3 linked regions of the Saccharomyces cerevisiae S288C genome follow. Each later gene encodes a partner of the first gene's protein in a complex. Each region holds a gene or a part of one and is shown in the gene's direction. Other genes may lie near its edges.

Region 1 (7,375 bases):
TATATTACTTCAAAAGGGGAAATATGGTCAGAAAAAATCTCGTCATCAGAAAAAAGTTGTAGTAGAATTTTCATCACCAAATATTGCCAAACCATTCCATGCAGGCCATTTAAGATCGACTATAATAGGTGGATTCCTTTCAAACTTATATGAAGCAATGGGGTGGTCCGTTACACGTATGAACTACCTAGGAGACTGGGGCAGACAGTTTGGTTTGTTAGCAGTCGGTTTTAAGAGATACGGCGATGAAAAGACGTTACAAAAGCAGCCAATTCAGCATTTATTCGACGTCTACGTTAAAATCAACATGGACCTTGCCAAGGAAGAGATAAACGGAAACTCTAAGTGTGGGATTAGCGGTGAGGCCCGTAGTTTTTTCAAAAACTTAGAAAATGGGGATGAGAATGCCATTAAGATATGGAATAGGTTTCGCTCGTTATCCATCCACCACTATATCCAAACTTATTCACGTTTGAACATTAATTTTGATATATTCTCCGGTGAATCACAAGTGTCTAAAGAATCTATGAATGAAGCCTTAGATATATTTCGCAAAAACAATCTTGTTAAAGAAATAGACGGTGCCCTTGTCATCGATTTAACCCAATGGTCGAAAAGATTGGGCAGAGTTGTTGTACAAAAATCAGACGGAACAACTTTGTACTTGACAAGAGATGTAGGGGCAGCCATAGAGCGTAAAAAGAATCTACATTTTGATAAAATGGTGTACGTGATTTCCTCACAGCAAGATTTATACATGTCCCAGTTTTTTATGATATTAAAAAAAATGAATTTTGAATGGGCAAAAGACTTGCAGCATATAAATTTTGGTATGGTGCAGGGCATGTCGACCAGAAAAGGAAATGTGGTATTCTTAGATACCATACTAGACGAGGCAAGGGATAAAGCTCTGCAAATTATGGAAAATAACAAAATGAAAATATCTCAGGTAGATAATCCACAGCGTGTTGCAGATTTAATTGGCGTATCTGCTATCATTATTCAAGATATGAAATCAAAGCGTATCAATAACTATGAATTCAACTGGAACAGAATGTTGTCTTTCGAAGGTGACACAGGGCCCTATTTACAATACACACATTCCAGACTTAGATCTTTAGAAAGGACCTCCAGCGACTTTACGACGGACATGCTAATACACGCAGATTTTTCAAATTTAAATGAACCACAACTAGTTGAGCTTGTGAGGTTGCTAGCGCAGTATCCAGATGTCCTTAGACGAGCATTCGAAACTCAAGAGCCGGCCACGATTGTAACATATTTATTCAAAGTTTGCCATCAGGTCTCCTCGTGCTATAAAAAAATATGGGTTTCCGGAAAACCTGCAGATATTGCCATACCGCGACTCGCCGTATATTCAGCAAGTAGACAAGTGTTACACAATGCAATGTCGCTTTTGGGACTAGTCCCGGTTGATAGAATGTAATTATATGAATAAGCTAGCAAATGCTAGATTAATTTAGATTAAGTTTAACCAATTTATAAACATGTAAATAGAAGAAAGTTTATTGTTACGTACAACGTGATATTTTCCGATTTTCCTTTAATTGATTCTTGAATAACCCACCTACCGTTAGTTGAAATAGAAACAAAGAAGAAGGATATGCAAGTTTATATTGGACAACATAACCAATAGAAGATGGATCCAAGTTTAGTTTTAGAGCAAACGATACAAGATGTGTCCAACCTCCCATCAGAATTTCGTTACCTCTTAGAGGAGATCGGTTCAAATGATTTGAAGCTCATCGAAGAAAAAAAGAAATACGAGCAAAAAGAATCACAAATACACAAATTTATAAGACAGCAAGGCTCAATACCGAAACATCCACAGGAAGATGGGCTTGACAAAGAAATAAAAGAATCACTTTTGAAATGTCAGTCTTTGCAAAGAGAAAAATGCGTTCTGGCGAACACTGCCTTGTTTCTAATTGCTAGACACTTGAATAAGTTGGAAAAAAACATCGCTTTATTGGAGGAAGATGGTGTTCTAGCCCCCGTGGAAGAAGATGGAGACATGGATAGCGCTGCTGAAGCCTCTAGAGAAAGTTCAGTTGTGAGTAACAGTAGCGTGAAAAAGAGAAGAGCTGCATCAAGCTCAGGATCCGTTCCACCCACTTTGAAAAAGAAAAAAACTAGTCGAACATCTAAACTGCAAAATGAAATTGACGTTTCTTCAAGAGAAAAGTCTGTTACTCCAGTGAGCCCAAGCATTGAAAAGAAGATTGCAAGAACAAAAGAATTCAAAAACAGTAGAAATGGTAAAGGCCAAAACGGTTCCCCTGAAAACGAGGAAGAGGACAAAACTTTATACTGCTTCTGTCAAAGAGTTTCGTTTGGAGAAATGGTTGCATGTGATGGACCCAACTGTAAATATGAATGGTTTCATTATGATTGTGTAAATTTAAAAGAACCTCCGAAAGGAACATGGTACTGTCCCGAATGTAAAATTGAGATGGAAAAAAACAAACTGAAAAGAAAACGTAACTGAACAAAAATACCTTTTTGAGACTGAATGACCTCATTTACACTAATAATATTCCATAAGCCAGAAACGGTGATTGCTATTCTGACAATGTGCTTTTCGAAAAGGAGAAGTAATTTCGAGACATCAGCTAGCAAGGACATATACGATTGACATTTTTGAATGTACTTTCAAATACTTGTGAATCAAACTAAGATATGATTCCTGCATATTCAGGTATATACTATATATTTTAATTTCATTAGCATATGTGTCATACGGTTTTTAAAACTTATGAGCAGGAAAAAGGTGTCACGTGATCAGATGGTCTTTTTTTCAAACTTTGACGTCGGAATTTTTTGTAGTGAAAAATTTTTCGAGATGAGGAAAGGAAGAAAAAATTAATTTGTTAGCCTTATAACGTGAGCACCTTTTCGATAGAGTATCTGATTGCTCTCTTCTACCAAAAGATCACCTGAGGATAATTTTTAACCAAAAGAAAATAATGAGTTTCAGAGGAGGTAATAGAGGTGGCCGTGGCGGCTTCCGTGGCGGCTTTCGTGGTGGACGTACAGGCAGTGCTAGATCATTTCAACAAGGACCACCAGACACTGTTCTAGAAATGGGAGCTTTTCTACATCCATGTGAGGGTGATATTGTTTGCCGTTCTATCAACACTAAGATTCCATATTTCAATGCGCCAATATATTTGGAAAACAAGACTCAAGTCGGTAAAGTTGACGAAATATTGGGTCCATTAAACGAAGTATTTTTCACTATCAAGTGTGGTGACGGTGTCCAAGCAACCAGTTTTAAAGAAGGTGATAAATTCTACATTGCCGCTGACAAACTATTGCCTATTGAAAGATTTTTACCTAAGCCTAAGGTGGTAGGCCCACCAAAACCAAAAAACAAGAAGAAGAGAAGTGGTGCCCCAGGTGGCCGTGGTGGTGCTTCAATGGGTCGCGGTGGTAGCAGAGGAGGTTTCAGAGGAGGCCGTGGTGGTAGTTCTTTCAGAGGAGGCCGTGGTGGCAGTTCTTTCAGAGGTGGATCTCGTGGCGGATCATTTAGAGGAGGATCTCGTGGCGGATCTCGTGGTGGTTTCAGAGGAGGTAGAAGATAATCTAGCTAGAAAAAAATAAAAAAAAAAACCATCCTTTATCTTTCACAATTCTTCATTTCTTCCAACTTACTATATCTGCCGAAGCACGTCTAACGTCGAAAAAAAAAAAAAGAAATTACCGTTTGTTCTGTATACTATATATATATATATTTGTTTGATTGATTTACCTGTAATAAATTGATTTAAAATGAAAAAAAGAGAAATTCAGTAATACCAGAAGCCGCCGTAGTTAAACAAACGACCACGGTTCTTACGGTTGTCTTAATATTATATCCATACAAAGTTTACGAATGGAACACTATAAATAAAACTTTTTCTTTTCTTTGTCCATCTCAGGTTTATGCTCCCATTCAGTTTCTTCCTTAATACCCCTTTGCAATCTTTTCAACTTGAGGGTAAATTGTGGACCCAGTTCTTGCAAACCAACCCTTTCATTATCTTTGAAGACATACCGATGCCTTCTGAAGAAAATGTAATCTCTTTGATTATGTAGGGTGATAACTTGTCGACCTTCAATATCAGGATTCTGAGGTAAAATGGACTGAAACAACCTACCTACTGTTTGACCCAATCTGGTCTGGAAATTATTTAGAATCAATTCTGGAATATGGCTAGTTGGTCTACCATGACCGACAATTTTCTTCACTTCAACAAATGATGATAATTTAAAATAAAAAGTTGGGCCCTCTGGCAGATGTATGAATGTTAGGCCAGTAACCTTTTTCTTGTCCTCGTTGATTATCACGATGTCAGTGAAATTCCTTTTTATACAAATATCAGATATTTCCTTCAATTTGTAGCCAAATTTTCTTTTCACAAATGTGACGTTTGGTAAAATTTCGATTAAAATGTTAGCAAATTCATAAGCGCTCTTCTTAGCGTTTACATTTGTGGTCAGAAAGATCTTTGGTGGCTCATTAGAATTGCTGTTGAAGTATCTCATCAAATCGTCTTCATCTCCCTCCACTTCCTTGTTAATGGTCTCATCGTACACTCTAGTGTTCTCTATCGTCTGTGTTACGTTCTCTTTTAATCTCTGCTCCCGCAGCTCCGGATTCTCTCTCTCTTCCTTAGCTCTCTTTCTTCTCATGGTATGGCGCTCTTTATTTTTTTCATGTTTTATATCAGCAAAAATTTCTTGCCTCTTTAGCTTGTTTGTGATGTTTATCTCATTACCGAGAGCCATTTTTTAGTATTTCAATATATTAAGCCTGCTTTACCTCTTCCTTAGGTGTTCAATCGTAAAGTATAGCTTATGGCATCGCATTTCTTTTTACATCTCATCGCTAAAAATTTTACTTTTCCTTTGTATAAATAATCATGTGTGACGAACGCGAAAATGAAAAATGCACTGAATTAAATGTATACAACGTTATATAGATCGTAAATATGTATATTGAAATATACACCTTTTTGTTCTTTCTACTACTGTAAAAGAAGAATGCATGCGTTATGACAGGGCAGCACGCCAATTTAACTTATTGCATATTTCAATGCAGGCTGTCCAGACAGAAGGAAAAGCTACTCAATTGTAGGCTTTGGTTCCGGCGTTACCCCCTTTGGTTTTGAGACTAGAGGTGGTAGAGTTTGGCTTACCATTTCTCAATATCAAATCGATAACTTCTTCGATCTTCTTGCCCTTACCGAACTCATTTTCCACTTGGGCCTTGGAGGCAGCGCCCAACTCACCCTCGGCACCCCTACCGTCCTGAGGAGTGAAAACTTCGAAGAGTTCGACAACTTCAGATAGCTTACCAATTGATGGATTTTTCAAATATTCGTCTACAAGCTCTTCGGATGCAGCGAAGACAATCAAATCTGTATTTTCACCCTTGTAAAAGTATTTGGTTACAGTAGACATGTTGATTTTATTTTGTGTATGCGATGGTTTTCTTATTTTTATCAGCTTGTTCAAAGTATGAATTTGTTGATAGCTGCTTTTTTATTAGTCAAGAATTGAGTTTAAAGAACATTGGCTTGTGATCATCATCGAAATTGATTCTCATCACTTAAATATCTTTTGCTCCCTGTTTCTGGCGATCCCTTCGACTAAATAAGGGGTCGTTGTTGTTACGTACGGCCCAACAGGGTAGTGCCTGCTCTAGCGTCGAAGTTAGAGGAAAAGAAGCTTAGAGAATAAAAACATTTACTAGTAGTAAGGGGTCTTATTGTCAGAAAGGGACAATTGCGTGGGCAGTATTTTCAAAGAGTGGCTTTCTTCTTCTGAACGGAGTTTCAACCTGCGCTTTCTTTTCCTCCTGCTAGGATTTATTTGTGAGAAAACGAAACTAGCTATAGAAACGCGTAGCACCGGCAGGCCGAAAACCGCTACTACGTAAAGGGGAATGAAAATGGGCCAAATTTGGTGTAAAGATATAGGAGAAGAGACACGGAGTAGGAATTCGCCGTGCCCCTATACAGAGACAACATGAATAGAGAGACAAACGCATTACGTAGTCTTGGAAGATAGCGCAACGGGAAATCTTGACACAGTAAGAAACATTTACAGTATAATAATACTAAAAATAAAATTAAGATACATCAATATAAAATTTTCGACAAATACAGAAAAGAACAGAGAAGAAAAAATGAAGGTGACGCAAAAAAGGAATTGACAGGCCGTAATGAGTAGTGATGGAAAGAAGGTAAATGGAAGTAATAAAGGAAAATCATAAACATGCTTAAAAGCGTACAATCTTGAATTGAATTAAGAATAACAATAACCTTGAAAGAAATGAAAATCAAAAGGAAAAACGCAACTATAACGATACAAAAAAGACTTAATAAAAGGACATGGAATCTTGAAAACGATAAAAAGCAATGAAAAAAAGAAAATAAAGCGCTGTTATATCACCGTCAGCCTAAGACCAAATACAATTTAACACTGAAGTAAAGAAAATACCAAGAAAGAAAAAGGGCCAAAAGGAAAACAAACATTTTTATATACACGTGTGGCTCAAGCAAACATAAAACCATTACTGCCTTGTTCCAAACGGTTTAACATTGCATTAGTGCTGTTAACAACCGCTTCGCTTCCTTGCATGATAACTTGTTGGCCACCCGTGCCTGAGAGGTCCATAGAGCTAGTGTCAGCCAGTAAACTAGTAGCTTGCGTATTTGTAGCATTATTATTACTGTAGAAACTGAAATTGTTCGAGCCTAATCCATTCGCATTAGCGTATGGATTAGAATAATTCAGAATTTGACATCCAGGAAGCATCGTGGATGAAACATTATTATCTGGCAGAACAGGTGCTTCACACGTACTGGATGGAATGTATCCGTAGTTAGGTTGCTGTAAACCTGGTTGCTGTTGTTGAACCTGTAAAGAGTTACTTAACATGGCTTGCTGAAGCAACGCTGTTTGCTTAGCAGACCTGCCCCAAGACAGTCTAACTCTTGAATTTGCAATGGGGAACCCTTGCATCCCAGCAATGGCAGCCTCAGCCGATAGCCGATCAACATACTGGACAAACCCGCAACATTTGCCTACCGGAATTTTGACATAGACTATCGTGCCAAAAGGTTGGAAATAAGCACGTAATTCGTCTTCAGTCACCAGTGATGACAATCCTCCGATAAACACAGTGGTGTTATTCGGATCAGTGAAGTGGTTTAAAGACGGCTGCTGTTGGACTGGATAAATGAATTGAGACATATGGTTTCTCTTAAAGCCCATGTTATTATTTCCATTGCTTAAAAATGATTGACCCTTGGAAAGAAATCTCGAGTCTACATTTTCGTTGTTTAGTGACGAAGAACTACGGTTG
Region 2 (6,235 bases), on another chromosome or scaffold:
GAATGAAACGAGCGCTGGAGGCAAATGTTATGCATTTTCTAATAGTGCTGGACTATTAACACTCGAATACCTGTCATGAGATGGACTTTACGTAATAAATACAATTTGTGACATTGAACTATTGTTGACGAAAAAAACTATCTTTTTTTATTGAAATGAAAAAGGAATAAAATAGCCTAATGTAAAATATCGCCTGGCTAGCACTAATAACTTTGAGTATTGTTGCAGTTATTCCTGCCGCAAATTATGTATTAAAATTTATACAGATATTGTGCCATAACTTCAGTTAAGGGTAAATTATCAAATTCTCGATATCCGTGGTCACTTTATACGAGTTTCTCTTTCCGTGCCTATATTCCTCGCGATGAGATTGAGGTAGAAAAAATATCTGAAAAAGAGTTGTCAATATATTATCTATTATGTCCTTATAATTTTATCATTTAGATTGTTCATGAGGCCCACATTTTCATAGGATTGCTAATTAACTCACAAATATGGTTCAAGCTATCAAATTAAATGATTTAAAAAATAGGAAGAGAAAAAATGTGGAGGAAGAAAATGGCAGTGACGAGTCTGAAATTGACATTAGTAGCACCGATTCAGAAAATGAAGAAGAGCAAAATGGAGAAGAAGAGATCGTAAATATTGACTTCGATTTTTTCGGTGGTAACCCAGAAGTTGATTTTCATGCTTTAAAGAATTTACTGCGTCAGTTATTTGGTCCTCAAGAAAGTACCAGGATTCAACTAAGCAGCTTGGCAGATTTGATCCTAGGTTCCCCAACCACCACAATTAAAACAGACGGCAAAGAATCTGATCCATACTGTTTTCTTTCATTCGTTGATTTCAAAGCTAATCATCTAAGTGATTATGTCAAATATTTACAAAAAGTGGACATGAGACTTTCCACTTTCTTCAAAACTATGATTGATAGTGGTAATAAAAATTGTGCTTTGGTTCTCAGTGAAAGGCTGATTAATATGCCACCGGAAGTCGTTCCACCTTTATACAAGATTACGTTGGAGGATGTTGCCACGGCACTTGGCGATGACAAACATTATGACTTCTATATCATCGTCACCAGGAAGTATGAAGTAAATTTTGACACTGACGATGATACCGACTCTGGTAAGAGGAATAAAAACAAAGACGAAAGATCCAAAAAAAGGGTGAAGGCCGATGAAGTAGACTACTTTCATGAGGAGGACCGATTTTTTGAAAAATATGCCAAGATTCACTTCGAATCAGAAGCTAAAAAGGGTGTTATCAGCTCATACATGATTCTTGATCACGAAGGCCTTGTCAAAAGTATCGATGAATTGGAAACAGAAATTTCCACTTGGTAATTTTACGAAAAGTAAATAGTTGCGATCACTGCCCTGCACAGTTAGTGCAATTTGTATATTATTAACAGACGAAGCAGCAGCGGCCATTGAGCCTTTATGTCATCCTACACGGATAATTTTGGGCTGCCGAGGACAGTAAAAATTAATCCGCCACCGCTGAAAATTTTTCTGGGCGATCATCTTTTTAATGTCGTGTGCTCCAATAAAAATACATAGTATATATTGTGCAAAGTGAAATCAGATTGTAATTCAAGAAAGGTCATTCACCCTGAGCCTTATAGAACATAGTCAGCATATAAGTGTTGAGCATTTTGAGCCGGGGCATACAGGTATTTGCGGCGTAACTACAAAATTTCTGGTTCTTCCCCCTTTCGAACCGTTAGAAGGGATAAGGATTTTTGCGTACTTGCTGCAGCCGCGAAATTTTCAAAGGCCGGCTATTACCCGTAGGCGTTAGCCGCCGAACAGATAGAATATAAAGATTATTTAGAGACATCATAATCAAAAGTACAGTTTCCGCCTCAAAGATGTCCTCACGTCCAAGTTCAGCAGTGCCTAATTCAGCATCACTCAGTGAGGACCAGAGCAGTGATAGAAGTAAATTTCCTAAGGCAGATGACTTAATTGATGAAAGAGATAGAAAACTGACCGAACTATACTGCGTATCCCGCTTGAACCAGCTGCTAGAGTTAACAGATGAAAACAAACTTCGGAAGGAAATAGATGCATTTTTAAAGAAAAACGATATACGAAGGGGTATAAGGTTTGACGAGGCGTCACTGCCGAAGCTCCTACATACAGCTGCGACTCCCATAACAAAAAAGAAATTGAAGGATGTAAATTTAATAAATGTACCTAACCAGAGGCTATCCGATTCTAAAATGAGTAGGGAACTGCCAGAAAATAGCGAAAATGTATCAGTCAAATCAGAGAGTCATTTTGTTCCAAGCCACGATAATTCAATCCGTGAAAATATGATGGATTCTTTGAGGCCAGCTGAAAAGACAGGAGGTATGTGGAACAAAAGGCCACTTGAGTCAACTATGGGAGGTGAAGAAGAGCGACATGAAAAAAGACAGAAGATGCAATCTCAGTCATTGGAATCTTCTAATAATTCGGAAATGGCTTCATTACCTATTTCGCCGCGTCCCCCAGTGCCTAATGCATTAGCACACTACACTTATTATGAGAACATCGAGTACCCACCAGCAGATCCCACTGAGGTGCAACCTGCAGTAAAATTCAAGGATCCGTTGATAAAGAACATTATGGCGAAAGAGATAGATACATCAGACCATTATAACGAGAACAATGTTGACGCATTAGAGACCGTATTTTTATTAATGAACGATTATATACCATCGAAAATACCCCAGGCTTTGCCCTTAGCAGAATTGAAGTACATGTCACAAACTCTGCCTCTTATTAATCTAATACCGAGAGCTCACAAGGCTTTGACCACTAATATTATAAACAACGCCTTAAACGAGGCCAGAATTACTGTTGTTGGCTCGCGAATAGAAGAACTAAGAAGACTTGGATTATGGTCTTTAAGACAACCTAAAAGATTCATCGATCCGTGGAAACAACACAATACGCATCAAAACATACTTTTAGAAGAAGCTAAATGGATGCAAGCAGATTTTAAAGAGGGCCACAAATATAAAGTAGCTATCTGCACAGCAATGGCACAGGCAATCAAGGACTACTGGACCTATGGGGAAATATGCTGTGTAAAACGTAAAACACTTCTACCTGGTAAGGAAAATAAATTATCTGACGACGGGCGCATATCTGAAAAGTCCGGTAGACCATCGGATACTTCAAGAAATGATTCCGATATTAGCATAGCCGGTAAGGATGACATTGGAATTATTGCGAACGTTGACGATATTACTGAAAAAGAAAGTGCTGCTGCTAACGATAATGATGAGAATGGAAAGAATGAAGCAGGAGCTAAGAGTGATTTTGATTTTGCAGATGGTTTGTTATCTCAAGAAGGTGCCCACGATCAAATTATATCTTCTATTGACACCAAGTTACTTCTAAAAAAGCCATCCTCCTCAAGCGAAGTTGTTTTAATACAACATGAAGTAGCTGCATCATCAGCGTTGATCGAAACCGAAGAATCAAAGAAAGAGCTAGCCCCCCCATTTAAACTTTCAATCTTTGTTGACGAACTCAATACTTTTGAAAAAACATTAATACAGGATTTACCGCTGTATAATGGTATTAATGAAGAACGGCCAAAAAAAGATGATTCTTTACCATTTATTCCAATTTCCAAATCGGTAGTGTCACTGGATGATAATGGATTTTATAAGTTACTTGAGCGTCAATTGATTGACGAAGAACCATCAATATCACAATTGAGCAAAAGGCGGGGTATGTTCTATGGTAATAGAAGAAATCATTATTTAAGACCACCAGCAGTACCTTCATTACGCTATCTTCAAAATAGAACACCGACTATATGGCTGTCTGAGGACGATCAGGAACTGGTCAAAAATATTAACACATATGGCTACAATTGGGAATTGATTAGTGCACATATGACACATCGCCTCACATATTCTTATTTATCGAATATTGAACGTAGAACGCCATGGCAGTGTTTTGAGCGTTTTGTACAATTAAATGAACGATTCAATTTTAGTGACCTCAAGGGTCCCAGAGCACATAGTGCTCAACAGTGGTTGATTGAAGCCCATAAATTTCAGCAGAGACAGAATAGAAGAATATCGCCTTTAGGTGTAAATACAGAATCCATACAAAGAGGTCATAGGAGACTCCGTTGGGCGAGCATGTTTGAGGCGATTAGAAAATGTATGAAAAAAAGAGAAAATACGCCGCGTCCCAATCCAACCCAGCCAAGGAAACCGTTAGATTGTAAAAACATGAAGGTCCCTACCCCAGCAGAAATGTCGCTTTTGAAAGCCCAAAGAGATGAGGCATTGAGAAGGGATATACAATTGAGAAGAACAGTGAAAAATAGATTACAACAGAGGCAACAGCAAAGTCAGCAGGCACATTCATCCCGAGCTCAAAGTCCAATACCTTCAAATGGCAAATCTTCTTCAAATTTGGCTAGAAATGGGCAAGCGTCGGCTCCAAGACCAAACCAGAAACAGTATACTGAGCAAGATATCATTGAAAGTTACTCGAGGAAGTTGTTGGAGCAAAAACCAGACATTGGTCCTGAGATGGCCCTTAAGGCGGCAAAAAACTATTATAGAACCTTGAGAGAACAACAGCAACAGCTAAAGCAGCACCAGATTCAACAGCAAAGGCAGCAGTTACAGGAGGAGTCCAGTCATGTGCAGCAACTGCAGCAACTACAACCAGGGTCTCAAGCTCCGCCACCGAAATCATCTCCATCTCAATCTTCTCTTTCCAATATTTCTAACATTAATTCTGCTCCAAGGATAAAGTCACCAACTCCACAGGAGATTTTACAAAGGTTCCAAAAACAATGACCTAACTTTACGACTTTACGATACTGATCTTTTTTTTTTTTTAACCAGGCTTATATTGGTTTTTTGATTTTTATAAATTTACGAATACTATTATATATAAGTAAAACGTTTTACTTCTCTGGTTTAGTATGTTGGCGTAACACTCTGTTCTCTGTAATATAATATGGCATCTACTTTTTTTTCAACTTCTCTACCGAATTTGATTATATTGTGGGCAAACTGGTCGTGCCCGATTCTTCCTTCGAATCACCCTTGGTGCAGTAATTAGCCTTCCATTTCAATTTTATGGGCTTACCTAAATTAACAGATATACCCTCTACGGAAGCAATCTGTTTGATACCATCTCTGGAGTTACTTTGGAGCATATTGCCCGATTGCGGTTGCAGAGACAATGTCGTGCCTTTAGGTGATGCCACTAAAAGTGCAAAATTAGTTATTGGATCACTGCTTATGTTTGAATAGAAGATAACTAATCGTAGTTTTGTCATCGACTCACGAGTTAATTCGTAATCAATGCGTAAGTGATCCGATTGGTTAAGTATATGTCTTTGCGATTGAGCTGTGATTTCCTTGGAGTTACTTGAACTATTTAGTAAACCATTAGGTAGAACAATCGAGTTAGAATATGCGGACAGAGCGGTTTTACTTTCTCCAGGTTGCGAATCAAAATCTAATAAATCTATACCAGATGACTTTGAGTGAGCGTCACCAAGTATATCAACAACAGTGTCGTTTTCTTGAGGAGACTTTGGGGATGATAAACTTACCTTATTAAAATCCCCTAAAAGATCGTCAAAAGGTTGCAAAGATTTGCTTGGAGATGTCACAGATGGAGTGTTTGCTGTTGTATCGTCATCAAAATCTATCAAATTAAGCTCTTTTGCCGGTTCATTCGTATCGGGGACATTTAGTTCTTCTTCCTTCATACCTTTTATTGACTTGTACCTTTTTAACAATTGGATCACTAGATCGTTAAATTTTGATAGATTACTAACAAGCGCATCGTCATCGCGTTCTTCCTCAATAAGCTTTTTGAATTTCGGCTGCGCTGATTTTAAGTCGCCATACAATTCTTGAATAGCTTCATTTTCAAGATCAGGCTCATCGGCTGAAGTCAACATTTCGTTGAATAAATCAGCTTTTCTTTTGAGTTTATTTAGTTCATTGTTAATTGCTTGTTTGACTGCTACTTTAGTGTCATCCTTAAATCCCGCCATAATTTTCATCAGTTTATTAGCTTCTTTCAAATCATCGGGCTTGCCGCTTCTTAGCAGCTCTTCTAGTTTTGCAGCTTGAGCTCTTTCCTGTTCTTCCTGTAGCTCACTAGGTGTCCTCAGTTGGTCATTCGGTCTCAACACCGCCAAGTTTTCACTCCCAACTTTTGGGAAAGTATAACCCTTGTATTTCAGTAAT
Region 3 (3,605 bases), on another chromosome or scaffold:
GTTCACTAGATTCGTTTGCCAGACGAATTAATTGTTTAGCCATTACCCACAGCGGATAAATTATCCAATTGGTTTCTCTTTCTACTATTCTGTTGAAAAGTTTCAACTGTTCATTGGCTAATCGCAGCAATTCCTCAGTAGCATTCTTGATCCGCCCTTGCTTCTTCAATGACCTCCGCTTGGAATACTTCAATTTTAGATCTACTCCTAATTGGTAAAACCTTTGTAATCGTACACTCTCTTCATCTGTCGCCGTAGGCCTTTGTAGTATATATTTAGTCTTTTTAGGTGTTTTAACGTCATATCTGATGAAGTCTAACAGTTTGTCGTCATAGCGTTTCTCTTCAAAATAACATCCTATATCAACATCCATGATTGGTTGTAGAAACCGTTGCTGGACCTTTCTGTTCCTGTGTAACTCTCTCCAGACATTCCTTTACATACAATTTTCTTTTTTTTTCCTGACCTTTATCGTTAGCTTTTTCAAAATCAAAAACAATACGATTGAGGAATACTACTAACTAGCCAAAAGCAATACAAAATACATCCATACATACGCCCTAAAGTAATGTCAGAAGACCAGCGTGTAATTAGTCAACCAATTGAATTACATAAGCTGTCGATTGTCGATAAACACTCCCAAGGACAGCAGCAACAGCCGCATCAAAAACAACATGAAGTGCAGCCTGAATCAAAATCACCAAGGGTTACGACACCTTTAAAGCCCAAAAGACTTGCTATACCTATATCAAGTCCGCAAAGATCTACGACAAATCAGTCACCCGTGAGCGACCACGCAAGTCCGATTTCAACAGACCAAGATTTAATATATAAATTAGCTGCAAAACACAGAGAAATCAATGAACTTAGTTTCAAATTAGAGGTCGCCCAAAAAGAATTAAAACAATTAGAGTTACAGTTCAAAGATACACTGCCCCGAAATGGACAACAGAAATTAGGTAACCAGAACCCAAGTGAATACCTCTCTACTTTTACCAAAAGAATTCAACAGACATTTGTGGACGTAAATAATTCACCAAATATGCTCAAGGGAAAAAAGAGTATAAACGATTTTTTTAGTAAGCCCAATAATAATGTTAATAGCAACATAAATAACACTCTACCCAATCGTAAACCGAACCCTCCGCCTAATCGGTCACAACGTATGCAAAATATTGCTCCAAGCCGTAGTTCAGAATCAACTCCAACATCGGGTCCTCCCTTGCTACCCCCAAGGAATACTATGAAGAATGCTAATACCACGGCAACTGCTGGGGAGAACACACCATTCTTACAAAGAATACTTAACAAATTCAATCAAATGAATATGGAAGAGGACGAATTCGATGACCTTTTGGAAAAGAGGAAAAGTAAGAAAGATCACTATTACATAAAAGAAAATTTGGGTTACGAATACGATGAAGTACGCAGTGAAGACGAGGATGATGAAGAGTTTGAACCCATGGGTGACATACCCGTTCATTTATTTAAAAGGTAGCTAATGTCCACTATTGATGCTTTCTCAAGAGACCTTCATATGTAATATTCTCATTAAATACAAAGATTAAACGGCTTCATTTATGCATTCCTTTATTTAGGTAAATTTTTTTTGCCCGATTTTTGGTACTACTGCTTTCCTTTTTTAAATGTAATTGATATTTTTAAAAAAACCTCACATGTAGGCGATTAACCCAGGTCCTTCAACAACTTGCCGACTATGCCATTAAATTAATGATTAAAGGTGTGTAAAGCCACAACGAAAGCAAAGAATATACGTAAGATAAACATCTTTAGAGAACAGCCATTTTCCATCATCTTTCCGTTTGTTACCAACCTACGCCTAGAAGAAAATGACTGATGAGCTGAAAAGTTATGAAGCATTGAAAGCGGAACTAAAAAAGTCCCTCCAAGATAGAAGAGAGCAAGAAGATACCTTTGACAACTTACAACAAGAGATATATGATAAAGAGACCGAGTATTTCTCACACAATAGTAATAACAACCATTCAGGTCATGGGGGAGCCCATGGGTCAAAATCACACTATTCTGGTAACATCATAAAAGGGTTTGATACCTTCTCCAAGTCACACCACAGCCATGCAGATTCTGCATTCAATAACAATGATCGTATTTTTTCATTAAGTAGTGCTACGTACGTGAAGCAGCAGCATGGCCAATCACAAAACGACTAATGCGATAGCACACGTTGGTATTTACGTTGCTTGACCGCTCTAAAACATCTGATTGAAAAGAAAAAGAGAGAAGAAGGAAATGATTTCGACAGGTGACCTTTAAGTTCGATATACCTACATATTGGCTATTTCTTTTATTTTTCATTTTCTATAAAATATCTATATAAGTATTTTTATAACGATTTACTAACAAGGGCAAAATTTCAAAGGTCCCGTGCTCCCAGTCATTTTATTGGCTGGCGAATAAACGGATACAGATAAACAAAACAGAAGCACAGAAAAGGATATCCACCCATCATGATAAGCCCAAGGGTGAATACTCGAGTTTGGCAGAGATCAATTTCTCTTTTGAGCCCACAAGCGGCCAAGACGGAGAGTAATGTCGTAACTAAAGAAAGGACATATATCGAGAACTTAAGCAAGGATATTGCGACTTCCCGTTTCAGGCTAGTAGACGAAAATGGTAAAATTGCATCTATCACTGTTCAACCAGATATTCCAATTTGTATCAAAAAGGATTGCCTAGTTTCCATTCACAATTTGAACCATTTATCCCTTTCCTATAAATGGCTGAATTTTTGGTCAAACCTGATTAAATTTCGTTCATTCAAATCTTCATTGTTTCATAGAATTATTGGATCCTCCGTTTTAGAAATTCTGGCTGCCCCAAACTTTCAAACATCGAGAAGACCTTTCGATTCTTCAAGAAGCTTGTCCGTACTGAATTTGACCGGGACAAAGGATTGGAATGTATTTGGCAAGGATTCAATTATCGCATTTGAACAGAACTCCAGTCTGGAAATCAAATCGCCTATCTTTCCCTCTGCAAGGTCTTTAGTCTCGAACTCATCAAAATCACAACTACCACGGAAATTTCAAATTCTGAATGGGAGAGGAAATGTGTTAGTATGTGGAGGTGGGTTGGTATATTCAATTGAGTTAATTGATGAAAGCGACAAAATTCTGGTTAATTCCAGAAACATTTTGGCCATCAACGGCCAAAGTCAATTGGATATTGCAAATTCAGTGGAGAGACAAGAGTTACACGTGGAAGGCGCGTACGTCGGAGATTCAAGTAATGATACGGTGGCACCTAAATTCATTAAGAACCAAACGCTAAAATCTGCTTACGGACATACTGTTCAATTTTTCAAAAGAATGCGCAGTTGGATCCGTAACCAGTACGAAAAAAGATACATTTATGGTGTCGACTCGTACTTTATGAAGATTAAAGGTCCAAGAACAATATTGATTCAAACGCATGAAATGACAACATCCAAAGATAATATTCTAACTAAACTAACGTCCAAGGGCCACGTTAAGAAGAGCAACGTGAATGATAACGGTGTCAATTTAGAGAAACAAGTGGCTAACGATGTAAATTCAAAGATCATTGAGCTTGCCAACAGACCC

The links. The genes of interacting proteins can lie anywhere in the genome.
Region 2: YNG2 (region 1) and EAF1 share a complex: the UniProt entries of both Saccharomyces cerevisiae proteins name them as parts of the nuA4 histone acetyltransferase complex.
Region 3: the proteins of YNG2 (region 1) and EAF6 are in contact, whole or in part, in a crystal structure (PDB 5J9T), measured with the Saccharomyces cerevisiae proteins. Residues at the interface, in NP_011958.1 of Saccharomyces cerevisiae: Ile11 (codon at 1,691), Val14 (codon at 1,700), Leu17 (codon at 1,709), Pro18 (codon at 1,712), Phe21 (codon at 1,721), Arg22 (codon at 1,724), Leu25 (codon at 1,733), Ile28 (codon at 1,742), Gly29 (codon at 1,745), Asp32 (codon at 1,754), Leu33 (codon at 1,757), Ile36 (codon at 1,766), Lys40 (codon at 1,778); in NP_012615.3 of Saccharomyces cerevisiae: Ile69 (codon at 2,055), Ile70 (codon at 2,058), Gly72 (codon at 2,064), Phe73 (codon at 2,067), Asp74 (codon at 2,070), Asp92 (codon at 2,124), Ile94 (codon at 2,130), Phe95 (codon at 2,133), Leu97 (codon at 2,139), Ser98 (codon at 2,142), Ser99 (codon at 2,145), Ala100 (codon at 2,148), Thr101 (codon at 2,151), Lys104 (codon at 2,160).

What each region holds. Positions count from the first base shown.
Region 1 is NC_001140.6:278,911-286,285, reverse strand, and holds YNG2 (histone acetyltransferase YNG2), read left to right. Parts: upstream 1-1,660; coding exon 1,661-2,509; downstream 2,510-7,375. Other genes in the region: arginine--tRNA ligase MSR1, read left to right, coding at 1-1,447; H/ACA snoRNP pseudouridylase subunit GAR1, read left to right, coding at 2,988-3,605; rRNA-binding ribosome biosynthesis protein RPF1, read right to left, coding at 3,904-4,791; RTC3 (Rtc3p), read right to left, coding at 5,131-5,466; YHR086W-A (uncharacterized protein), read right to left, coding at 5,894-6,055; NAM8 (Nam8p), read right to left, coding at 6,562-7,375. UniProt on the Saccharomyces cerevisiae protein: Component of the NuA4 histone acetyltransferase complex which is involved in transcriptional activation of selected genes principally by acetylation of nucleosomal histone H4 and H2A. The NuA4 complex is also involved in DNA repair.
Region 2 is NC_001136.10:1,190,523-1,196,757, reverse strand, and holds EAF1 (Eaf1p), read left to right. Parts: upstream 1-1,873; coding exon 1,874-4,822; downstream 4,823-6,235. Other genes in the region: transcription factor TFIIIC subunit TFC6, read left to right, coding at 1-79; protein-transporting protein BCP1, read left to right, coding at 495-1,346; GGA1 (ubiquitin-binding protein), read right to left, coding at 5,026-6,235. UniProt on the Saccharomyces cerevisiae protein: Component of the NuA4 histone acetyltransferase complex which is involved in transcriptional activation of selected genes principally by acetylation of nucleosomal histone H4 and H2A. The NuA4 complex is also involved in DNA repair.
Region 3 is NC_001142.9:580,501-584,105, reverse strand, and holds EAF6 (Eaf6p), read left to right. Parts: upstream 1-1,850; coding exon 1,851-2,192; downstream 2,193-3,605. Other genes in the region: YJR084W (uncharacterized protein), read right to left, coding at 1-373; ACF4 (Acf4p), read left to right, coding at 569-1,498; AIM24 (Aim24p), read left to right, coding at 2,490-3,605; YJR079W (uncharacterized protein), read right to left, coding at 2,867-3,053. UniProt on the Saccharomyces cerevisiae protein: Component of the NuA4 histone acetyltransferase complex which is involved in transcriptional activation of selected genes principally by acetylation of nucleosomal histone H4 and H2A. The NuA4 complex is also involved in DNA repair.